3 linked regions of the Oryzias latipes genome follow. The protein of the gene in region 2 interacts with the protein of the main gene of each other region in a pairwise test. Links are inferred from orthologs where the notes say so. Each region holds a gene or a part of one and is shown on either strand. Other genes may lie near its edges. The genes, in order: bnip2, bcl2 and bnip3.

What was found.
Region 1: the proteins of bcl2 (region 2) and bnip2 interact in a two-hybrid assay, tested with the Homo sapiens proteins (3 studies listed by BioGRID and IntAct). The link is inferred for Oryzias latipes from reciprocal best matches to the Homo sapiens genes BCL2 and BNIP2.
Region 3: the proteins of bcl2 (region 2) and bnip3 interact in a two-hybrid assay, tested with the Homo sapiens proteins (2 studies listed by BioGRID and IntAct). The link is inferred for Oryzias latipes from reciprocal best matches to the Homo sapiens genes BCL2 and BNIP3.

What each region holds. Positions count from the first base shown.
Region 1 is NC_019864.2:17,092,531-17,100,160, reverse strand, and holds part of bnip2 (BCL2/adenovirus E1B 19 kDa protein-interacting protein 2), read left to right. Parts: intron 1-1,950; coding exon 1,951-2,046; intron 2,047-2,162; coding exon 2,163-2,230; intron 2,231-2,433; coding exon 2,434-2,610; intron 2,611-3,934; coding exon 3,935-4,117; intron 4,118-4,305; coding exon 4,306-4,408; intron 4,409-4,479; coding exon 4,480-4,611; intron 4,612-4,698; coding exon 4,699-4,785; intron 4,786-4,865; coding exon 4,866-4,964; coding exon of another isoform or gene 4,965-4,968; intron 4,969-6,256; coding exon 6,257-6,292; intron 6,293-6,775; exon of another isoform or gene 6,776-6,919; intron 6,920-7,322; coding exon 7,323-7,380; 3' UTR 7,381-7,630.
Region 2 is NC_019875.2:25,448,821-25,455,837, forward strand, and holds the end of bcl2 (apoptosis regulator Bcl-2), read right to left. Parts: intron 4,147-7,017; coding exon 4,009-4,146; 3' UTR 2,655-4,008; downstream 1-2,654. UniProt on the Homo sapiens protein: Suppresses apoptosis in a variety of cell systems including factor-dependent lymphohematopoietic and neural cells. Regulates cell death by controlling the mitochondrial membrane permeability. Appears to function in a feedback loop system with caspases.
Region 3 is NC_019873.2:19,569,117-19,577,451, forward strand, and holds bnip3 (BCL2/adenovirus E1B 19 kDa protein-interacting protein 3), read right to left. Parts: upstream 4,894-8,335; 5' UTR 4,763-4,893; coding exon 4,720-4,762; intron 4,462-4,719; coding exon 4,284-4,461; intron 4,192-4,283; coding exon 4,131-4,191; intron 3,255-4,130; coding exon 3,148-3,254; intron 2,911-3,147; coding exon 2,761-2,910; intron 2,476-2,760; coding exon 2,433-2,475; 3' UTR 2,018-2,432; downstream 1-2,017. Other genes in the region: ppp2r2d (serine/threonine-protein phosphatase 2A 55 kDa regulatory subunit B delta isoform), read left to right, coding at 130-221, 312-591. UniProt on the Homo sapiens protein: Apoptosis-inducing protein that can overcome BCL2 suppression. May play a role in repartitioning calcium between the two major intracellular calcium stores in association with BCL2.

The sequences.
Region 1 (7,630 bases), on a different chromosome or scaffold from region 2:
AAAATTATTAGAGCATTCTACCACACTGTATGGCTTTACACGACTTTGTAAACGGAAAGTTTTTCCACACATTTGCAGCAAAGAAATGATGGCTTGATCATTTTTTGCCGCCATCACGTTTGTTGTACGCTGTGATGGACTTGGTCGCGTTTTTACTTTGTAGTTAAATAAACCTACCGTGTCTCAATCCAAAGGGTATTTTACTATATTAATAATCGATTTATTTCATTTTGAAACAATTATGGTATAGGTGATTTGCCTCAAATAGATCGATCTGCTTGGATATTACAATTCATTGATTAAGTCAATTATTGTTACACCTCTAACTATCATAGCTTCCCATAATTGAAATAAGATTTTTACAAAAACAAAAAGCTTTAGCAGAGACAAGAGCTTTAATTATTTGCTAAAAGGCTCCAACTTAATTTCTAGTTTTGTCCCTGGATGTAGAATTTTAGTGCAGAAAACAAAACAATTGTACCTTTTGCAGTGAAGCACCACTAAAATAACCATTTTAATTATAACATCAGAAATTAACGAGTAACATTTTAAAGATAAAGTAACTGTGAAGTAGATTGTTTTTTCACACTTATTTATCTTTGCTTTAATGGAATACTCTGAAAAATTCATGTCTTCAAAAGAATATTTAAAAGCATTTATCTATGTACTTTACTTGAGTCAGCTAAATCTGTATGTTAGCACTGCATGATCCATGTTTTCATTTTCTAAACATTTATTTTTTTCACGTTAGTATTTGTAATGATCCTAATGTGTTCCCACTCATTTTTGTGATTTGTGTGATTAAATTATGTTTGTTCATATGTATTTTTTCTATTGAAATGTGCTGCCTGTTGGCCAGGACTCCCTTGGAAAAGAGGTTTTTAATCTCTATGGAAATTTCCTGGTTAAATAAAAGTTAAATTAAAAATATTAAAAGGCCTGTGCCATTTGCATTAGTAAATTAAAAATAAGTTTGTTGCACACATGCAGAGATGAGCTATTCTGAGAGATCAGTGTGTCACCCAGTCACAGATACAATAGGCAGCTTTAGTTGTGGTTCATAAACTAATCTCTTAACTAAAGCTCACAGGTTTTCATGAATAAATAGAGCTGATTTTAAAGTAAACTACAAGCTTGAGCATCCGAGCTGATTTTGGAGACTGTAAATTTTATTGTGTTTAAAAAAAGTAATTGACAGAGTTTCTAAGTCTGACAAAATGTCATTAAACATTTTATCTTTGACTAATTTATTGTTATGGTCAGAAAACAAATGCTGCTGACAGAAAAAAAGAAAGCTTTCATTCATTTTTAACTTCTATTTTTCAATCTATTTATGATCTTTCATTCTGAGGAGTAGAATCAAGAGTTTAATGTATGTGATTTAGGGAGAATATTTACCTCATATTCTCTTAAATTGTTTAATTTAAAGTTAAAATAGTCAGAATTGCCTCTGATTGACATGATTTAAACATATGTCATTCGAGGGCTAGGTTGATGAAATCGATGAATCATTTGGTGTCTAAAGGACCGGTTTTTGCTCAAATCTTCTTAGATAAAGTGTAATGCTAAAGCGCGAGCTCCACCTAGTGGCCAAACTGAAACGCCCTCCAGGAGAGGCAGAACAGAATAATCTGCACATTTTTGTTGGAGCTTCTTCTTTTTACAATCTTACAGTATGTGAACTGTATCAGATTAATATGTGACTAAAGTATCTTTAAAACACACATATGTAATTGTATTTCTATGCAAATATGTCTATATGTGTAAACTGTAAATTCAAAATTGAATCGAATTGAAACGAGTGAATCGAAAGAATTGAAGAAACCGTGAATTGGTTTGATCTACCCTCTAGTGAATCAAATCAATTCTGGAAATTATTGGTGATACCCAGCCCTATGTCATTCATTTGCCATTTTGCTGACTTTTTCTTTGAATCTTCTGCTTTTGTAGTCTTGAGCGTCAAGAGTCGGTCACCACAACAGAGGCCCGTTTAAGAATGGAAGGAGTTGAACTGAAGGAAGAGTGGCAAGATGAGGATTTTCCACGGTACTGTGTCAACCGTGCATGTGTCATGGCATAGCCATACATTTGCATTGCGTTATTGTTGTTGGAACTTCATCAATCATGCAAATCCTGAAACGAGGTTCTCTTTGGAAAACTAGGCCTCTCCCAGAGGAAGAGGAGCTGGAAGAGGAGCTTTTTGCGGGAGCCTCAGAAGAAAGAGATCCTGGTAAATTAAAGGCCGAGCTGCATCTTCCGTTTACTGCACATGCAGAAGAGAATGTTAACAAATTGTTCATTTTCAGCTTTTTCTTTACTCTCACATTAGCTTAAAAGAAAAAGGAAATATAAAGAGGAACTTGAATCTGCATGTAAATGTAATAAAAGATTCTTTAACAGTCCCCAAATATTAATGCATGTCTTCCATTTCAGGCTATACAGTGAAGCACGACAAGAAACCACGGAAAAGACTTTCTGCTCCTACAATCAACCTTGCACTTGACCGCAGTGAAGGTTCCATCCTGTCCGATGAGCTGGACGAAAGCACAGAGCTGGACCTGGACGACATCGACACGCCGTCCGACAACAGCAATGAGTTTGAATGGGAAGGTGAGCGGTTTGATCCTCATCAAAGCAACAGAAACATCTCGGTTTTAGCATTTTCACAGATTTGAAGTCCCGCCTGCAAAAAGTCTAAACATCTGTCCTATCTTTTAAGATTGACCTTGTAGATAAAATGCAAGCAATCTTCAAGAACCAGGAGAAATCCAGGAATCTAATTTTAACTAGTTATGTTAAAAACCTGACGTCTAAAGGGGTTAATGATCAACACGTGCAAATGCTAGTTCAATTTCTCTGTGCATTTTATTTTCCTGTGTTTGTTAGGATTGTTTTCTGTGTAGCACACCCCTTTTTTTTTAAACATGTATTGTTAAAAACTGCTGTGTTTATGTGTTTCCACCCTGCTGCCTTTCTTTTTTATCTTGGAAGAATTCTTTCCCTTTTCTGCCTGGAAACAGGCTTCAGACCAGCAACAGGTTTCTTTCCTCCTCGTGGTAAGGTTTCCTGAACAGCCTTCTTTATTGTGACAAACCCCCAAGTCAATCAACTCCTGATCATGTCCTTCAGATCATTTCAAACTTATTTATTTTTTAATTGACTTTTCTTTGTCATATAGTTTTACTGGTGATGGAGCTGCTCTTATAATGATATTTATATTTTAAATATTTATGGTTGTACATAATCAAGTACTTATGTTGAATGTTGTCAGAAGGAAGTATTCACCATTTCTTTCAAAACTGAAGCTTTGCTAAAATGATGCAACTCAATGTAAAACATTTTGATTTGATGAACGTTTGCATTCACTGGTTTTGCATGAATGCTGCATGCTGCCTATTATAGTCATTGAAGGGGTTCACTTTTTCCATCAAGTTGTATATTTTTTATTCTTAAAAATCATGATTTTAAAATGTTTTAACCACTTTTTTGTCTTTTTAAAAGAATCCAGCTTTACGTCAGCCAAACTTCAGATTAGATCTTTTGAGATATTTCAAGTTTTTTCTTAAGTATGAAATGTTGCATATAGAAATGTGTATTTATTTATTTTAGTGCCCCCCCCCACACACACACATTTTTGACATAATACATGTTTTGAACGGTTTGCCATAAAGCTTGTTTATTCCTTTCATTCATCTTTGTTTTCCATTTCTTAAAATGAGAAGTAAAATTGAGTCATGGAATTCCAAATATGATTGTTTTAAATCAGATCAAAGCACACCGCCATAATGCTCCAGATTCAAACCAATAAACTGTTTGTTGCATGGGATTCAAACATTCCAAATATCATCTCTGAATCAATTTTTAACACATCTGATCAGAATTTGGTTTTGCTCGGGTGCAGCTGTTTGCTTCAAAAGCCTCTTTCTCGTCTCAGATGATCTTCCCAAGCCCAAAGCTACAGAGCTGCTTCAGAAAGGCGTTCAATCCGTTCCAGAGTTCTCAGCCTCTGAGGAGCGCGAGGAAGGTCGGCGCTGGAGAGTGTTCCGGATTGGAGACCAAGATCACAGGGTGGATATGAAAGCCATTGAACCTTACAAAAGAGTTATCAGCCATGGAGGTCAGTGGTGTTCCTGTACGATCTACCCGAGCAGAAAGCCGCACTGACTTTTGTCTTTTTGACTGTTGAATTCACAGGATAAATGTGTGATTAGACCTCAGTCTGAGCTCTGAAATGATAAAACGTTAGCCTTTCTCCGTGAAAGTACGGGTTCGAATGCTAAAACCTTTTTTCATTTTTCTCCACAGGTTACTATGGGGACGGTTTGAATGCCATAATTGTGTTTGCTGTTTGCTTCATGCCGGAGAGTAATCAGCCAAATTACAGATCCATCATGGACAATTTATTTAAGTGAGTCTTCATTTGAGTCTCTATTGGATCGGGTACATTAGAGGAGCACTAATGAGGAGTTTCTACCACAGGTATGTCATTGGAACACTGGAGCTCCTGGTTGCTGAGAACTATATGATTGTGTATTTAAACGGGGCCACTTCACGGAAAAAGATGCCGACCGTCGGCTGGCTCCGAAAGTGTTATCAACAGATTGACAGGAGGTCAGTCTTTGACCGCAATTCTGAAAATGGAGAGAAACGAACAGATTTTGCTGTAAGGTAAATCCCATTACTTTGTACTTTGTACAGATTACGGAAGAACCTTAAGTCTTTGATAATCGTGCACCCCTCGTGGTTCATCCGCACCCTCTTGGCAATCACTAAACCTTTCATAAGGTATTTCTTTTTTAATATTAATGGAGCAACAGTTGTCTTTTTCTCAATGTGGTTGTCTTACATAATTTTTTTTTTTACAGCTCTAAATTTACCCAGAAAATCAAGTATGTTTACAGCTTGACGGACCTTGCTGAACTTGTCCCGATGGAGTATGTGTCAATACCAGATTGTATCAAACAGTAAGTAGCATGTTTTTCCAAAAAATGACAGGCTTTTAGTACGTTAAAGTCAAGACAGCAGGAAAATGTAGGTGTAGACTAATTCATTTAAGAGACGATTCATTTTTTTATGCAATTAATTAATTAATTGTGACCTGTAATTATTAATCACAATTATTCTTTACTCAATAATTGCTTTAAAAAGCCACACACTGGGAGCAATGTAAGAGACATTTTCAGGTGTGTTCAAATAAAAAACATCCATCCAAGTAAACAGTTACAACAGAGAACATGGCAATTGTTTAAGATTTGAAATTAGATAAACATGATTTTTTTTTTTTTTAAGACGCGCTAATTTGACTGTAATCAATTGCAAATTGCACGATAATGTGACATCCCTACTTTAAACAAATTTCTATTGTTGATTCAAAGCAAAACTTCAGCAGAAGTAAAAAAAAATGTTTCATTGGCTCTGCTCTTTTTGGGCCCATGTTTATTTCCAAAACATTTCTTTTGAGTTTTAATTGGCAGTGAGAGTCCAGGTGTGATCCTTCAAACTCCTTGAATAGACAGTTCGGACTTCATCCGCCGGTTGTGACCATATCTACTAGATACAGTCCACTGAGTTGCAGTCTTCTGTGCGAGTTACTCTTGGGGAACTATAACTAATGTAGCCTAAATCATTTTAAATGAAAGGGACAGTTATCACGTCTCAGGGGGCCGGGATGAAATTAAATCCTCAGATGAGAGGTGCATGCTTTGACCTAAAACAGAACCATTACCATAAAAAAGAGAATTAAAAGCAAAGTTCCTTTATCATTCTGACTCAGATGATCTTAAGACAATAAGGCACAGACAAAATGTACCGTAATAAAAACAGTCCTGCGTAAAGCTCCGTACACAGGGCGTGTGATCCACCTTCAGTAATGTGCTCTCTCAGCCTGTCATTGTGGCCCCGTGACAGACTGGCGACCTGTCCAGGATGTCCCCTGCCTTGGCCCGCAAGTGGCTGAGATAGGCTCCAGCAGCTCTGTGACACCGAAAGGGACAAAACGGATTAAAAGATGAATGAATGAGCCTGAAACCCTCATCTGCACCTTTACACAGACTTAACATCTAAAGTGGTCACTTGAATGCGTGTTGTGTATGCAGCTGAACAGTTTTTGCCCTTCAGAACATTTTCCATCAATGTTTTTAAAGGCAGTACACCACCTCAACCTAACACATTTAGGAAGAAGTGTCTGCTCTGTTGAATTTGCTGTTAGTTGTCATGTTTCATGTGCTTAACCCAGTCTCCCTGCCCCCTCCTAAAGGTTTGATGCTGAAAAAAATAGGAAAAACCCAAAAAGGTATTGGCACTTTCTTCAAGGGTTGGTCACTGCATCCTTTTTATTTTTTATGGAACTAACAATTAGAGAATCTGGTAGCTTTCAGAGATGCACTAAGGCACCCGCTCTTCATAGATTTAGGATTTATTGAGTTTGTTTTGCATTCTCTCCAGTTCAACAGACATTTTTTTTCCAGGAAAACAAATTGTTGTTGTCTAGTCCAATTCTGCAATATTCCCATAAAAAATCTTTCTACTTCAAAAAAGCATTTGGTGTAAAACCCACTTATGAAGCTTTTAGTACAATCTTTCTCAGTGATGTTGATCATTTGGTGGAATCTGGATTGTAGGCAATGAAACAGGCCTAGCGTGGCTAGCATTTGTTAGGTCCGTCAAGTCTGTTTAACTGAACAGATTAAGACGGAAAGGAAGGAAGTATCTCATCTGAGTCACTGTGGTGTGCGTGTTTGCACTGCTGCACATTCACCTTCATCTTCTCTTACAGTAATGTCCATTAACCATCCCTCACTGAACACCACCCAACCTGTTTACTCCCCTGTGCATGACTTGCTCCACTGCTTTTCCCTGCCGATGTTTGATGATTGTTAGAGGTCTTTAGCTGGGTGGGCACATCGATAATAAATATCAGGTACATTAAACTTGTCACTTTTGGGATCTTCACTGTGTGTGTTATCAGCGTATTAAGGCATGAATTCGCTCAACTTTCTGGCATTTGACAACAAAAGTGCATGAGTTTTTAGTACACTTTCTGTGTGCAGACGCGACATGTGACAGACGGTAAACTAGCAGGAACAAATATTCATTTAGTGTCTTCAGCAGAACTGTATTGATATTCCTGCTCTTCAGACCCATCATGAGGTTGTTGTAAAGTTCTTATCAGACACCCATCTCAACCTTTAAAGGTGTGGATCAGTTTAGGAGTCAAGGTTCATTGAAAGTGGGGTAACCCAATACACCTAACGATACACCACCAATACACCCCCTGACGACTGTAAATGAGAAGTGTCCTGATTACTGGATCTGTTTTGCAGAATCGACCAGGAAATGCACAGCAAAGTAGGGATTGCTGCCTCTGCTGCTCCGAAGTGACTCTGCAAGACGTGCAAAAAACGTTGGGAACTGCAGTCGCATCCATGTTTTTCTTCAGAATGATCTGTAAACGCATCTTGCATCATGAAAGTGGCTTTTTGAAGATTTCCTGCCTGTTACATCATCATGTCTTTTTTTTTGGGCTGTATGTTTGTATCAAGCCGTTTAATGCTCTGTTTTTTGGAATGTTTTTAATCCTTTTATTTACCCCCGTCTGTTATGTCACCTTTGGGTTATTGGTGTTCATTCG
Region 2 (7,017 bases):
CACTGGAGGAGTCAGCTTGGAGAATCTTCTTCAGGCTGAAGGAAATCTGAGCTGATTCATCTTTTTTATTTATTTTTTGCGTTTTGAAGTCCGTGAAATCAGATGATGGATTATTTGGAAGATAATAATTTCCTGCCTTTTTTGTTGCTGTAGTTGCACATATTGAGAATAGTGTAGTGTGTGCTTTGGAGCCACAAGGGGACACTGTTAGACACAATTTAAGAGCCTCCCCTCCTCACTGAATATCTTCATTCAGTAGAGGGATTAATAATTTCTGAGATGTGCAATTTATAACCCCTTTTGTGGGAAATGGATAGATTTGAGCAGGAAGTTTTTAAGGAAGTAAAGTTGGTTTAAAATGCGGGGTGTGCAGATCTGATGGACTTCCTAATGAAGGGTAAAACCGGACCAGGCCTCCTCCTGGTAATCTGCTTTGATCTCTCAATCTCCCTTGTGATCTCCAGCGCTGGGAAAGCCTCTTCTACACCTTGTATCCCCAAAAGTAAAGGAGGGAAAGAAAGCCCCCCCCCCCCCATCACTGCCCATCTTCCTGACTTCACACCCACACTGGACTCTCTTTTGAAAGTGCAGGACTTGATTTAAAATTCCTCTTCAGAGCATGTCACGCATTTTATATGCACGGTGAGCGGGGAGATATGGGGGAGGGATTGGGGGTGGGAGGTGGGGGCCTTCAGTCCAAATGAACTTCCCCTCACTGTTGGCCTCCTCGGGGATGTAGCTGCACACCACAAGCCCGCTCCTCACTCCTCAATTTCTTGCACCCACTCAGCTCCTCCAACATTAGTTTTACTGCATCATGCCTTGTGCAAATTCCACGGAGCAGCGAGAGGGCTGCAGCCTTTGAAGACTAGTGTGATCAGAGAAAAAGGCAGGGGGTGTACAAAACCTGGCCGCAGGGCATTTGGGGTTTTTTTTTTTTCTTTGCACTTGTGTTTAGCAGCGAGGCTGACAAGTGCGGCGTTTGGGGACAGGCTTTGAAGTCTGGTGGGGCGCGGCTCGTGCCTGTGCACCACCATCCTTCACGAGAAGACTGTCACTTTGACACACAATCAGGCTCACACAAGTGTGATGGATAACATATAATCAAAGGAACACAGTTGATCCCCTCCTCATCACCTAAACATCTGCTATTCTCTTTCAGCCTCGCTCTCAAGGAGGAAAAACACAACAGAAAGAGCACACAGCATCAACTTGTATCTGATTAGCTCAAGAAGTCTGGTTTATTAGGAACAAATATGATCCTGCTAGCTTATTGGCAGTAAACAACATAACACAGTACACTTTTTTAAGTGCTACGGGGTTTGCGATTATGGACATAAAAACAGTAGGCTACAGCAACAAGAGTGCTACATTCACATATGCACAGAGAATATATCAAAATTACAGTATATTGCTGTTAAGCTGTTCCTATTCCTGCCTCTGCTTTTTCACACACATCACTACACTCCAAGAGCTGTTTTCTTATAAGAATTGTGTTTATAGTGAGGATTGAGACGAGTCTGACAGCTTTTTACAAAGACCAAAGTGAATGTGATATAGTAGGACAACACAAACACAAAACAACCTCTCCAAGCTTGAAGTGTTTTTCATGAAGCTACTGCTAAATTACAGATCGGTTTACTTTGGTTTCCAGCTTTCTATAGGTCTGTACTGTGAAGTCGTGGCAGTTGAAGCTGTGGGTTAAATTGACAGTATAGCAGCCATAAGCCAATATTAACACAAAACACAAAAATTTATTATCTCAACATCGCTACTATAGCAGCCAGGAAATAACCGAGTTACAGTGTGATTTAATAGATAAAAAAGAACGAGAAAATTAAAAAGGCTGAATTTAATGAAAGCACTGTTAAATCTCTGTGATCTTGGTACCTCGTAATAAATAGGAAAGTCAGCTTTATTGATGTTACTTTTTCCTCTTCTAGTCTGTTATAAATATGAGTATATGCTGTGAATGTCTGTTGCATTTTAAACTGTCTTCCATCCATGCAGCAAAAAAAAAAAAAAAAAAAACAAAGTTTGAGAGTTTCTTAGAAATAAAGTCAGCTCTACATAGACAACTAACTTTTACAATGAAATATTTTGGAGCATGTACGTGCTTCCAAATTTTTCCATCAGCCTGTAACACAAGACAAACATCAATAAAACAGGATGGGAGGAACAAATCAATGGCTGGATGCATCTGCAGACAGGGGAGGAGAGTGTACACTCGCACACTCTTCAAGGATGATCTGTGGAGAAAACGCCGAAGCTGCATGTTTTACATGAGGAAACGCAGACATCTCAGGTTCCAGCGCGCCGGACTCTACCTTCAGTCCTGCTTCTGTGCAGTCCGCTCGGTCACATCCGCCCACGTCTGGTTCTCCACTGAGTCTTTGTGGGGCCAGGCCAACACATGTTGGCAGGGTAACCCCTAGAACCTGAATGAACCCAATCAATCTGACCACAAATGGACTCACGAAGAAGCAAAGAAGATGCAACAGGCTCGTTTTTTTCTTTTTTTAGCTCTGTGATTGTTAGACTTTTATATAAATTACCAATGTGGGTGGTCTGCTTTGCATTTCATTGCCTGTGGAATGCACTCTTAGACTCTCAGAGTAAAAAGAAAAAAAACAACCCAGAAGGAAACACAGGGATCAGCAAAAAGAAATTTTTTATTCTTCACATGTGGTTGAGCAGGACAGACCCAGATATAAATATATTGATGCGACTGGGAGGCTGGCAGAGGGCCTCCGAGTGTGAAGAGTGTGCGAGTGTACACTCTTCAAGGATGATCTGTGGAGAAAACGCCGAAGCTGCATGTTTTACATGAGGAAACGCAGACATCTCAGGTTCCAGCGCGCCGGACTCTACCTTCAGTCCTGCTTCTGTGCAGTCCGCTCGGTCACATCCGCCCACGTCTGGTTCTCCACTGAGTCTTTGTGGGGCCAGGCCAACACATGTTGGCAGGGTAACCCCTAGAACCTGAATGAACCCAATCAATCTGACCACAAATGGACTCACGAAGAAGCAAAGAAGATGCAACAGGCTCGTTTTTTTCTTTTTTTAGCTCTGTGATTGTTAGACTTTTATATAAATTACCAATGTGGGTGGTCTGCTTTGCATTTCATTGCCTGTGGAATGCACTCTTAAAATTGTGCGGTTATACTGTAAAAGCCTCAGAATACAAAATGTGCTGGTTATTGTGCTTCCTCCTTTCCTCCTTTTCTGTGTGTGCTGCAGTCCCTATTCCTCTCAGAATGACGTTTTCATCAACTTAAAACCTTCCTGAAGTAAAAAAAAGACGACGTAAAAGTGGAGGAGCTTTCAAAAGTCTGTAAAGGAGAAGCTGTTTGCATCCACCATCACAGGCTGGGAGAGTCTAATGGTGCTTCACTGAGGAGTGAGAACAGCAGACACACCGCACTAGCAACAGCAAACCGTTTCCATCACACATTCGGAGCAGCTGTTCCGCAGAGGAAGTGCTTTGAAGGTAAACTGGAGTCCACAGTTCAAACCAGGTCCTTCACCCTGACAAGAACTGACATAGTTGCACTCTCTTCTTCGTCTTCTCCGGAGTCATCATCTTTGCATCCGTTTGCCTTTAAGCCCCCCAAACTGCAATCCCACACATGCAAAGTCTACTCTAACACGTAACGTTCATGCTGTCACGGATACTAAAGCAGGCAGACCAAAAAAAGGAAACATGAAAAAATAGACGTGCGTTCCTTGTTTCTCTTGAACTTGTCTTAGTGTGATTACATCTCAGGTGCATCTTTTCAACATCTCCTCTGCCTTGTGGGCCGTGCCTCTGGTTCCCTCTCCTGTTTTGATTTGTGTCTGTTTTGACATGAAGGGGCTAGAGGGGGGGACTTTTCTGAGGGAGCCTTTGAAGCAAACCAGATTCAGTCTGAAGCGTGTCTCAGAGGGGTCAGGAGTGTCTCAGGAAAGGAGAGAAAGGAAAAGAAAAACAAAAGAGGCACAAAGTTGAGCAGATGGGAACGAGGTGGTTCACTTTTGTGCAAGGTATGCTCCAATGGTCAGGCTCGCCGCCCCGAGAGCAGCCAGGCCGAAGACAGTCTTGATGGACGGCCAGTAGCATGTGAAGACGGTTTCCTTCTGTCTGTCATACAGCTCCACAAAGGCATCCTGAAAGACAAACAGGAAGAACAAGAACTTCATGAATATCAGTTCAGATTTTTTTAAATAAAAAGTGTAAAAACACACATTTGCACATTCTAGTCACTTTTCTCTAAAAAAAAAAGTGATTTTAAATTGTTAGCTCAATTTGCTGTAACTCAGTGGGGGGTAGATCAAAGCGGCAGCACCTATTTTAACCCTTGTGCTGTCTCAGATGACCCCACCCTTACATTGAGGTGTTCTCCCTACCATGACAAAGGATAAAGGTGAAGAGGATTTCATGTAATCCATGGACACCAGTAAAGATCACAAATCATTGAAGAAAAAAGGTTCTTGTGACTCAACTCCCAATGTTAAAGTGCCTAGGATAACACAAGGGTTAATGACAAAAGAGACATTTTCTTACTGACCAAAACTTAGCAAGAACCACCAATTTTATTAATGTTTCTGTGGACATTTAGACGTTTATTTTTTTAAACGTAGCTTCTAAATATTTACAATAATTCAATTATACCAATGTGAAATTTTTCTATATATAATTGTTTTTTTTACTTTTAACTGTTACGCATAAAAGTTCCCTTCAAAATAAAATGCATCCTTTGTCAAGATCCTCCAGGAAAAGATTTACTTCAATTACAAATGAAAGAAATCCAAGTCAAACCTGAAATTTTGTATAAGTTGGACTTAGTGTGCTGTCATCCTTTTTCTCCTTTTACTATGGATTGCAAACATGGCATCATCATGTTTTTAATAAATCTATACCGATAAATGCCATTGTATACTTTAGGAACTGTGCTTTTGAAGCCAACTCTCCTATCTAAAGCTGCTAAAAACCTAACCTTTGAGTCGTTTTCTGAAGGATTTACTTTATCATGTATTTCATGGTTAAGGTTACAGATCTTCTCTCTCAAAGGCCGTCTGTTCATGTGAAATGATGCTTTGAAATGCAAACCTGCTGCAGAATATGGGTGGAAATAGAGTGTTATTACACCCATGCCGTAGAGGGATCCATTACTGCTCATCCCACCCTCCCACACCTCAGACATTCTTCCCGCTCAGAGTAAAAAGAAAAAAAACAACCCAGAAGGAAACACAGGGATCAGCAAAAAGAAATTTTTTATTCTTCACATGTGGTTGAGCAGGACAGACCCAGATATAAATATATTGATGCGACTGGGAGGCTGGCAGAGGGCCTCCGAGTGTGAAGAGTGTGCGAGTGTACACTCTTCAAGGATGATCTGTGGAGAAAACGCCGAAGCTGCATGTTTTACATGAGGAAACGCAGACATCTGCTCAGAACAGGAGACAGCAGGAACAGCTGGACAGGAAGTGATGGTGCCGAGCTCTCTGCTGTCCCGCCCCCACAAAGACAGTGAAAAGTTGGAGTTGAATCCCACTACAATAGACAGTTAAAAAAAAAAAAAAGTTCAAGGAAGGAAACACCAGCAGGTTTTAAGGTGGACCACGATAGCTGATGTGCAGTGAAGCTGTACATCTGAGCTGCTTTGATGTTAAAAGCTGGTGTTTGACCTTCCATTGAGTGTTGCGTTTGATTCACTGCAGCGTTCGTGCACCACTTCTTTCCACGAGGATCTGCTCAAATCTGTCTGGCTTTGACACGATACTTTACTGTTCTTAGTCAATTTTTGGGGTCATGTGTTTTTATTTGACCCTAATGGTGTTCATACAATTTTCTTCACAAGTATATTTTCTTTCAAAAATTAATAATGAAAAAAAACAACAACAGAGGATAAAAAAGAGGAGACTGAAGTGCTGTGGAGAGACAAAAGCATTTCCTGTTTCTCTTCCTGTACTGTGGCATTCCTGAGGCTGGGGGCTGATGACACCAGAGAAGAAGAATCAGCAGATTCTTCAAACTCAGGCCCTCTGGTGTCAAAATACACTTCATTTTCAAATCAGGCCAGAAACATTTTCCCTTTCTTTTGCAGATACATGTTTTTAATCATCTGGAGCCATGCTACACACAATAAGCATGCTAATCTGTAATGGATAATTCCAAATGGTTCAAAATGAGTAACATCTAAAATCTAGAAGAATAAAATGATGTAAAGGTTCTGGTAAAAAAAAAAAGCTTTTGTCCCAAACAAAAGGATCCCAGCAATCAGAGGAAATGCTAGTCAGTCAACTTATACACACAAAGTTAGTATACATAACAAGGTGGATGGTATGGAGCCCTGGACATGACATTGAAAGAAATGTTTCCACAAAATAATAATTTGCGCCCACAAATTAGTAGTAGGAATTGAAGATACTAAAATACTAATTTGTGCACTCAAAATGCCAATTTTTGTGGCCGCAAAGTATTAATTTGAGAGAACAAGTTTTTTTTCTGAATATCATGTTCATTGCTCCGTAGAATGGGGGCACTTTTCAGGAATGTTATACACTGTGATTGCATTTTATAAAGTGTTTATTGTTAATATTAATATATGGTGTAAAAAAAAAGTGAAGATTACCCGGAAGTGCGAAAGACAGTACTCTGCCACTCCTTAGGGGGCACTTGTGAGCAAAAAGATGCTTGTTTCTGCAGTCAATGAAAATCCTTTTTTTGGTGTTTTTAAAATGTTCTTGTGGCATTTTTCTGATAATGGAGAATATGTATTAAGAATATTAAGCATAAAACTGCGATAAAAAATTCCATTTCAAAAATAGAGCTTGTTTGTGACACAAAAAATATGCTGGGAGGGCCAGAAGCTCCGTGCTGCGCTCCATTCTGATGCACCCATTGAGCAGTGTGAGTTACTGCAACTACATAAAGGCGTTATTCCGTGTTTGCATGTGCCGGTCCCAGGTCCGGATGAATGCAGAGGGTTTAGGACAGGAAGAGCATCGGTGTTAACTCTTCAACCGTTGACAACA
Region 3 (8,335 bases), on a different chromosome or scaffold from region 2:
GCATATTGCAGAGCTGGATATTGCGATAACGATAAATTTGCGGTATATTGTGCAGGCCTATTGTATGAGCTGAATGAGCCTTTTTTTTCTCTCTTTTCAGTGTTTATATTTAGTTGTGTTTTATTCCAGGTTCATGAATACCTTCGCAGTAAACTCTGCTCCTTGTATGAAAATGACTGCATCTTTGATAAGTTTGAATGCTGCTGGAATGGCAGCGACAGGTAAGCCTCCTCACTGTCGCAGAGAAACAGTCCGGGGAAAACCCGCCCTCGCCTTTTTTTTTTTTTAAAAAACCAAACTCTTTCCGTCAGTGCCATCATGACCGGCTCCTACAACAACTTCTTCCGAATGTTCGACCGCAACACCCGGCGGGACATAACACTGGAGGCGTCCCGGGAGAGCAGCAAACCCAGGGCCACCCTCAAACCACGGAAAGTGTCCACCGGTGGCAAGAGGAAGAAGGACGAGATCAGCGTGGACAGCCTGGACTTCAATAAGAAGATCCTCCACACTGCCTGGCACCCCAAAGATAATGTGATAGCTGTGGCAGCCACCAACAACTTGTACATTTTCCAGGACAAAATCAACTAGAAGATTGGTGGGGCTCCAGAGGATAGGGCTTTTACCGTACCTGTGTAGTTAAGCCTACTACTTGTCTATCTGTATAAGAAGAAAACGGCCTTGTTGTCCTCCTGGTGAAGATTTCGAAAGCACGTGTCTACTTTTTTTTTTTTTTTCTTTTTGGCCACAGGAGGTTTTCATAGGCTGTTTTATTTCGAGCTTAGGTTGATTTTCGCCTGTGGGCAACCAGGGCCATCAACATGCCTCCCCTCCCTCCCCCCCCATCCCAGAAAGCCCAATTCCGGTCTAATCGACGGAAAGGCACTCGGCAGAGGTCCAACTCTTGAGCGTTGCTGATTCTTTTTGGTTGACATTTTAAGCCTTCATTTCACCATTTAACATCTGAACTCTTTATAACGGCGTCTTGTCAAGGTTGAATCCATCTTTCAAAGATCTCGGGGTCCTCAAGCACGGAATAACGGCCGCTAACGCCAGCCGTCAACACTCCCGCGTTGGCCCTATAGTTTTAGGCCAAACTACGAGCGGAATGGGGTCGTGAATTTGGAAAGTGGACTTGTTTCTCCTCATCCCTCCCGTCTTTTTTTACCCCAGTTAATACAGGTGATATAACTTCACTGACTGTATCTACTTAAATACACCTTGTCATCCACATAATAAAAAGAAACTAAAACTACAGATGTGTTTTTAAATTTAGAAGTATGTATTAAAACATGTTTATTGCTTTGCATGTTTTTTATGTTGTAGAGAGGTGGAAAATGTCCAGTCACACCACTGTCTATTGAGCAGATCTCCAAGAAAACGTCAATGGAAATAGTATTTGGGGGGCCATGGGTTTTGGAAACGGCTCATTATGTGTTTCTGTGGAGAGGTTAAGCTTCAGTTCTAAGGAATGGAACGTTAATGGGTCCAGGACAAAGGGGAATCTGCAGCCTTAATACCTACTTCTATCAGTGACAGCTACGACTTTTAACATCCCCAAACGTTTTTACAAACCTCATGTGCATTATTTATAAATCCTATTTTCTAGAGTTATGTCCTCATACGCTGCTGCTACATGTGGCTGTCTATGGAAACACAAAGGAGGAAGATTGCACAGTTTCTGTGATGGAGTGCCTCAGAACCCTGTAATAAGTAGGAAACACAAGACAGGCCTCATACATGTGCCCTTATTCATTAATAGGGATGCCATCCAAATTGATCCGCATAACTGCAAAATGTGGCTCTCCAGTTTGAAATGCAGAAATGAAGGTGGACTACGCAGAACATATGACATTAAAACACACGATGCATTGTCTTTGTCCATTGATTCCTAACATGGTGGCAATGTATTCACTTATTATTTTGACCAAAGTTCAATAAAAATTTTAATTGTGTTGATCTGCATGGTTGGTTTTCCTCAGTTAAACTCTTGATGGGACAAACAAAACGAACCACATTTCACTATCTAACCGTTTATTCATCTACAAGTGCTGCTGTTGATTCCTTCGATGCATAAAAGAAAAAAAATTCACACAGTTCCCTTATATATTTGTTGATCAAAAAAATTAAATTTCACAGCACGTGATCTCAAAGATTAATTTGAAAAAAATAAAATACATGAGTTGAGTACCAGTCAGTTCCTTTGCATGCAGATTACAGGAGCAAAAAGCAGCAGAACTGTCCTCTATAGGACAGATGGTGCAGCGGATCGGTCGCTGCTGCGCTCAGAGGTTTAGGCTGCAAAACGGCTGAGAAAATGTCACAGCTCTCCACAACCTGAGGCCACTTTTCCTCTTCCGCTGCAGGGTGTCTCATTTTTAAGGCATGCCGAGCTGTTTGAAGTAAGGTGTGCAACCATTCATCCCCCATTTTTAGTAGGTGTGGTGGGAAGTAAGGCGCTTCCCAATGTAAATCCTGGAAGAAGTAGGAAAAATGAATCAAAATCAAAACCTACAGTTTATAAAGTTAATAATAAAATACACCACTTGATACTCAAAGAAAGTACAAAAAGTTGTTAATCTCCCTAAAGAATCCTAAAATTACTGAGTCTAACTGCAATAATAGCAATTAAAAAATATGCAGATTAATATGCAAAGTAATCTGAAAAATAAAAGCTTTTAGTGTGAAAGTACAGGTACATGTTTCAACTTTATGTGGTCATATATTAAAAAAAGTTAGATATTAAACAAAGCTGCTTACCCTAAGCCAACAGCAAGTATGTGAGAAATGATTAACGAAGGAAGGAAAAGCTTGAGAAAGTCAGCGGACAGGATTCCTCCCTTCTTCATGACGCTGCTGTTCCTTATGCTGAGAGAAGACGCACGCTTGGGGCGCTTCAGCAGGAACTCCCTGTAGAGGAACCCATGAATATTTCAGCGTTTTCAATTCATTAAAAATAGATCAGACTTTTAATGTCAGCCTGCCACTCTAAGCCCACAAAGATCCAAAACCTGAAAATCAAAATGATGCAGTTAAGCAAATGCACTTACCAGGAATATTGTTACAAATAAACTACTTTTTGAATACTTGGGCTTCAAAATAAATGACGGCAGCGTATTAAAATAATAATTAAATGATCGGCTTTACTTGGGAGGGCTGTTTTCCGGTCGGCTGGACCAGTCCCAGATCCAGTCAGCATTTTTCTTCATCAGGTTCTCCACCTCCCGCTTCCTCTCCTGGAAGTCTTCATCTGACTAAAAACACAAGAACAGATAAGCAAGTGTTGCCAAAACACAACAAGTGACCATCGCATTTCCTGAAACCATTCGGCAGCAAATCCCTTTTTACAACAAATTTTTTCAAACTGAACATATATAGTTTAAAGCCGGGTTCTTCAACCTTTAACACTAAAAGAGCCAATTGAACTAGTTTCTTATTAATCCAAAGGCCACAAAGTTCCACTTTGCCGCTTATAAAAATTAATGTTTTTCAGACCATTAAAATATTCATAATAATTTGATAATAAAAGTCTTGCATTTTTCTACATATTATAAATTCAATTTATTTTACTTTTGACAGGAACAAATACAAATTCCTTTCAAAATAAAATACACCCAGTGTTAAATAAGAACTTCTTAGCATTTAAAATGCAAAAAAGGCACCCAAAAAAAAAATCTGTACAAATAAACACAACTCAAAATTTTCTCTCTAAACGGCAGCTAGACAATGTTCAGCAGGAGGTAAGAATATTTGTTTTATGCTTATTCTAAATAATTAACCACTATCAGAGAATGCTGAATCACTGTGGCGACCCCTGAAGGAATGTATCGGAAAGTCAACAACTTGTAGATGGTTAGACTTATAAACAATATTTTGCCCAGTTATCTGACATATCAAGACCTAAATGCAAATAATAAAACAGAATAACCTAAATCAAATTAACATAAAACCAGAAACGCATCATCTATTAAAAACTATTAGCATGTAAAGAAATAGGGATGGTTTTCATTTAAATAAACGATGATCAATTTGTAATATGTTATCCTGTTTGTCAAAAAAATTACCTTTTCGTAGTTTAAAATAGTGGCCTTTCTAGGCATTTAATGAGTCAAAATGTTTGTTGTGTTCACCTGTGAGCTGTTCCCCTCCGAGCCTCTCCACACCAGAAGAGGGGTCTGTGATCTGAGAGGGCTGTTTAAAAAAAATAATACAAGTTTTAAACTTTGTCCACACAAATAACATTTCGCAACAAATGGTGGAAACACATTCTTCCTCTTTTCAACCTGTTGCAGTGGGAGCTTCCTCTTGAGCTGCTTCTGCCGGACTCGTGTTGTGCTTCCAGCAACATTCGCTCCACCGCGTCGCCCTCTTGGCTGGACGTGGAGATCTGCTCCTCCTGGCCTCCTCGGTGACATGTCCCCTGAGACCCATTCCCGCTGAAATGCAGCTCAACCCAGGAACCTCAGATGAAAACATAGGCAGGCTGCAGTCAGGATCCATGCTGCTATGTTGTCATTGTTATTGTTAGCATACCATACGGGGGCTAATCGAGCTCAAGCGTCTAGTGGAACAAAACACAAGCCTTTAGTTTGGCTTCAACAGTGGTGGAAGATGCTAACTAATCACTTCGATTCATTAGAGGTACTAAAATTTGGATTAACCTCGTCTCACTCGTTAACATTAATGGATGTTTACATGACAGATTTATGAACACGTTACCTTGCAAACTCTCGTCAGAGGAAGCATCCTTCTGGATCGACATTTTTGCGTTGTAGTCTTGGTTCTTTCACGGCTGTGGAGGCTCGAATGAAGGTGAAATGTCTGTAAACAGCTGGAGTTTAGAGTGCTGAAACAACAATGACGCAACGCTGTGTTTATCTTAAAGACGATTGGCTCCACATGAAGGGCGCGCATGCGCCTTGCATGCTGAGAACGCACTTCTGACATCAGCGCGCATGCTCGCTTGTACGCTTAAACATGGATGTTACCGTTTATTCTCGTGAGCTTTAAACGCGATACTGTTTATATTACTAACATCCCTTATTTTTATTTATTTTTCCCCTTATTTTTTATTAATTTTTTCAAAAGTTATATTTGTTTTCATACGTGTTTTTGTCTACCTTTATTTTTACCTATTTGACATTGATGTCATTGACAGACATGCCGTGATAGATTGATTCAATAAAAAAAATCAAAAGTTTACATTACTAAAATGACATGAATCAGCACTTTTATCACACAGGATGTGATACAATTATGTGATTTTTTTTTCATATTATTTTTATTTAGGTGAAAGTAGAAAGACAAATGATTACATGAGCAAAAAAAAAAAAAAAGAAAAGAAAAAGCTTGCGATTACTGGCTATTTATTTATTATTATTATTTCATGAAAATTAGCTTTGATCAGAGGCCTAAAATAATCCCAGAAATACAGTTTAATCACTTTTTGGGGATTCAACCATGTCAACGTCTTTTCCCATGAACACATGAGCTTCTAACAGAAAGAATCTTAGATCTCATCTGCTTCATTGTAGCTCTGAATGGATTCTCTGCATATTTAGGTTCGCCCCCCTGCCCCTGCTAAAGAGCAACCTTTCTAAATATGATTCTTCCACCACCATGTTTTAGAGTGTGAGTTCAGGGGGATGTTCAGTGTTAGTGTTCTGCCTAACATGCCGGTAGTATTTCAATCCACACAATAAAAATAATTTTCTTCTAATCTGATTTTTTCCCCAAAAAAACTATCATTAGAGTTTTAGTTAAGAATACAAAACTGAAAATAAGGCTATATTGTAGCTCTCTTTTAAGAAATTGATTTTCAGCCACTCAAAGATACAAATATTTGCTTAGTTAACAATTAACGGCTACTTTGTTTGACAGGTTTTCCCACTTGAACTCCAGATCTCTGAGGCCTCTCCTATACTGATCCTGCTTTAAACTTGTTCACCTCTTTTATTCCTGATCTAGTGTCCTCCACAGGCTTCATGATGCTGTTTGTTTACCAAAGTTCTCTTACAATCCACTAGAGCCTTTGCAGAGCAGCTGTGTTTATAAAGAGATTAAAAAACAGATGGGTGGACTCTATTTACTAATTGAGAGTAAGGCTAATCCGAAGGAAGTTAAGTTTGACTGGATTTTTTTCTTCTTTTGGAGTAGGAGGGCTGCATAGTGGCACAGTGGTTAGCGCTCTTGCCTCACAGTGAAAGGGTCCCAGTTCAAATGGTGGGTGTTCTCCAGAGTCTTTCCAGCCTCTTTTCACAATCCAAAGACGGGCTTCATCTGTCGAATGGTTACTCCAAATTCTCCTAAGGTGTAACTGTGAGTGTGTTTAGGTGTGTGATTGTGTTGCTCTGCGATAGGCTGAGGATTTCTCCAGGGTGTACCCTGACTTGGCCCAATGGCAGCCAGGTTAGGCTCTGGCAGCCCCAGGACCATGGAAGGAGTGAAGTGGGTTAAGAAAATGGATGAATGGATGGAGTAAGAGAGTAAAGGTGGCTGACTGCAATGCACACAATAAAAACATTTATTTTACTTACAATTGCTAAGTTTTCAATTTTAAAAAACAAAACCTAAATAGACAATCTTTTTAAAGTAAAAAATATGTTAAATTACAAATGTTTAACAATGCATCAAATTGCAAAACCATTTCAACAGACTGCTGTAAAGTCGTCCGGAAAAAAAAAAGCTAAAAGACAGAAGTCATGGTTTAGCAGCGTCCATCCAGCCGTCCATTCTTAGAACTCCCTTTTGGGTTCACGAGGCTGTTGGAGTCAACCCAGCTATATTGTTGGGTGAAGGCCAGATCCTTAGCACTGTCAATTGTTAATAAGTTAAAAAGTTAAATAAAGTGTTAAAATAGCAATGCATCAATGAATATTTTAAATAAAATCTAAGCACTATGGCCTTGTCTTTCTTTCAACTTTTTCTCAGGTTGTGTGAAAGATAAAAGATGAAAGAAGTGGACAAAAGCTAGGCTGATTGGTTTCTAAGATTTAGATCAGAAAACTACAATGGTGCCAATGGCAACCTCCATTTTTTTCTTTTTGGGGATTTTTTTAAAGACAGAAGTTGTGATTTCATCACAACAATTCAATGAATTCCCAAAAGTCCCAGACTCTGATTTAATTCACAGTTTCCATTAGATAACCTTTTAGTTTACATTTATGCAATTTAATCTTTTTAAATTAGAGGGAAAACATGACTTAAGAAGATCCCAGTAGAGACTTTGAGACCAAAAACAAGTAAGTTTTTAAAATACTGATCTGACAATTGGCCTGAAAGGAAACACATCCTTTATGATCTGAGAATACATTGTGTGACATATTTTACTATTAGAAAGATATCTGCGCCTTCTGTGTTATTTATTGGTATCACAGATGTCACAGTTTAGTTTTGTAACAAAACTATTCAAACACTTTTGACATATTTAATATTCTATGTTTTGCCCAGACAGCAGGTAAGATAATAGGTATCATGGGGTGAATTTAATCTGATCCTCAGGCTCCTCAAATCCTTCAGAATTAATTGTCTTGCACCTTTAAAATATTCAGGATGGAAAAAGTATTTTAAAAAGTATGCATCGTGCGCTTGGCTTTAAAAAAAAATCATCCATGTTTAAACAACAAGAATTTGTGTATAATTTTCTTGACTATCTGCTGCTCTGCTCTGGGCGTTTGTCTATGGTCTGTGGTTTATACACCCCATGTTCACCTGCCCACTCATAATGATTTATGGCCATATAGAACAAACATTGATTTGTGGAAGGTGAGCATTAAACTACAGAAATATTGTGTGAATGTCATGGCGCCTCTGTCAGTCACCTTCCCCCCTCCCTCTCCTGCTCGGCTCTGGACGCGACCAGCTGGTTCCAATCATCACCTCATTAAACCGCCTACTTCAGGAGATCCAGGACCTGACGTCAACGCCAGTCCGTTGTTCTTACCACGGAATCATCCTCACGAGTGTGCTCCTCGGGCTACAGTTCTCCAGTTCCCCTCTACGTCTTCCCTTCGGATCCAGCAAGCCTCAGTCTCGAGCTCCGTCTGCCTCCACCCTCCAGTCAGCCGCCACGCAGCAACAAAGACTTGGTCACAGACTCTCCTTCAGAGAAATTAAATCTTTCTTATACTTACACCTCGTTTCCGAGTTTCTTCCGGGTTCCAGCGCCTGGGTCCTTTCGAATCCCCACGGGACCATGACAGAACGGACTGGCCCCCTCGTTAGATGACAGGCCGCGGGGGGTCGAAAACGTTCACGTCAAAGAAATCAGGTTTTTGTATGTACCTGTCAAAATTACTCATCAGGGTCAAGTCAGTGAATTTAGTGCTCTCATCGA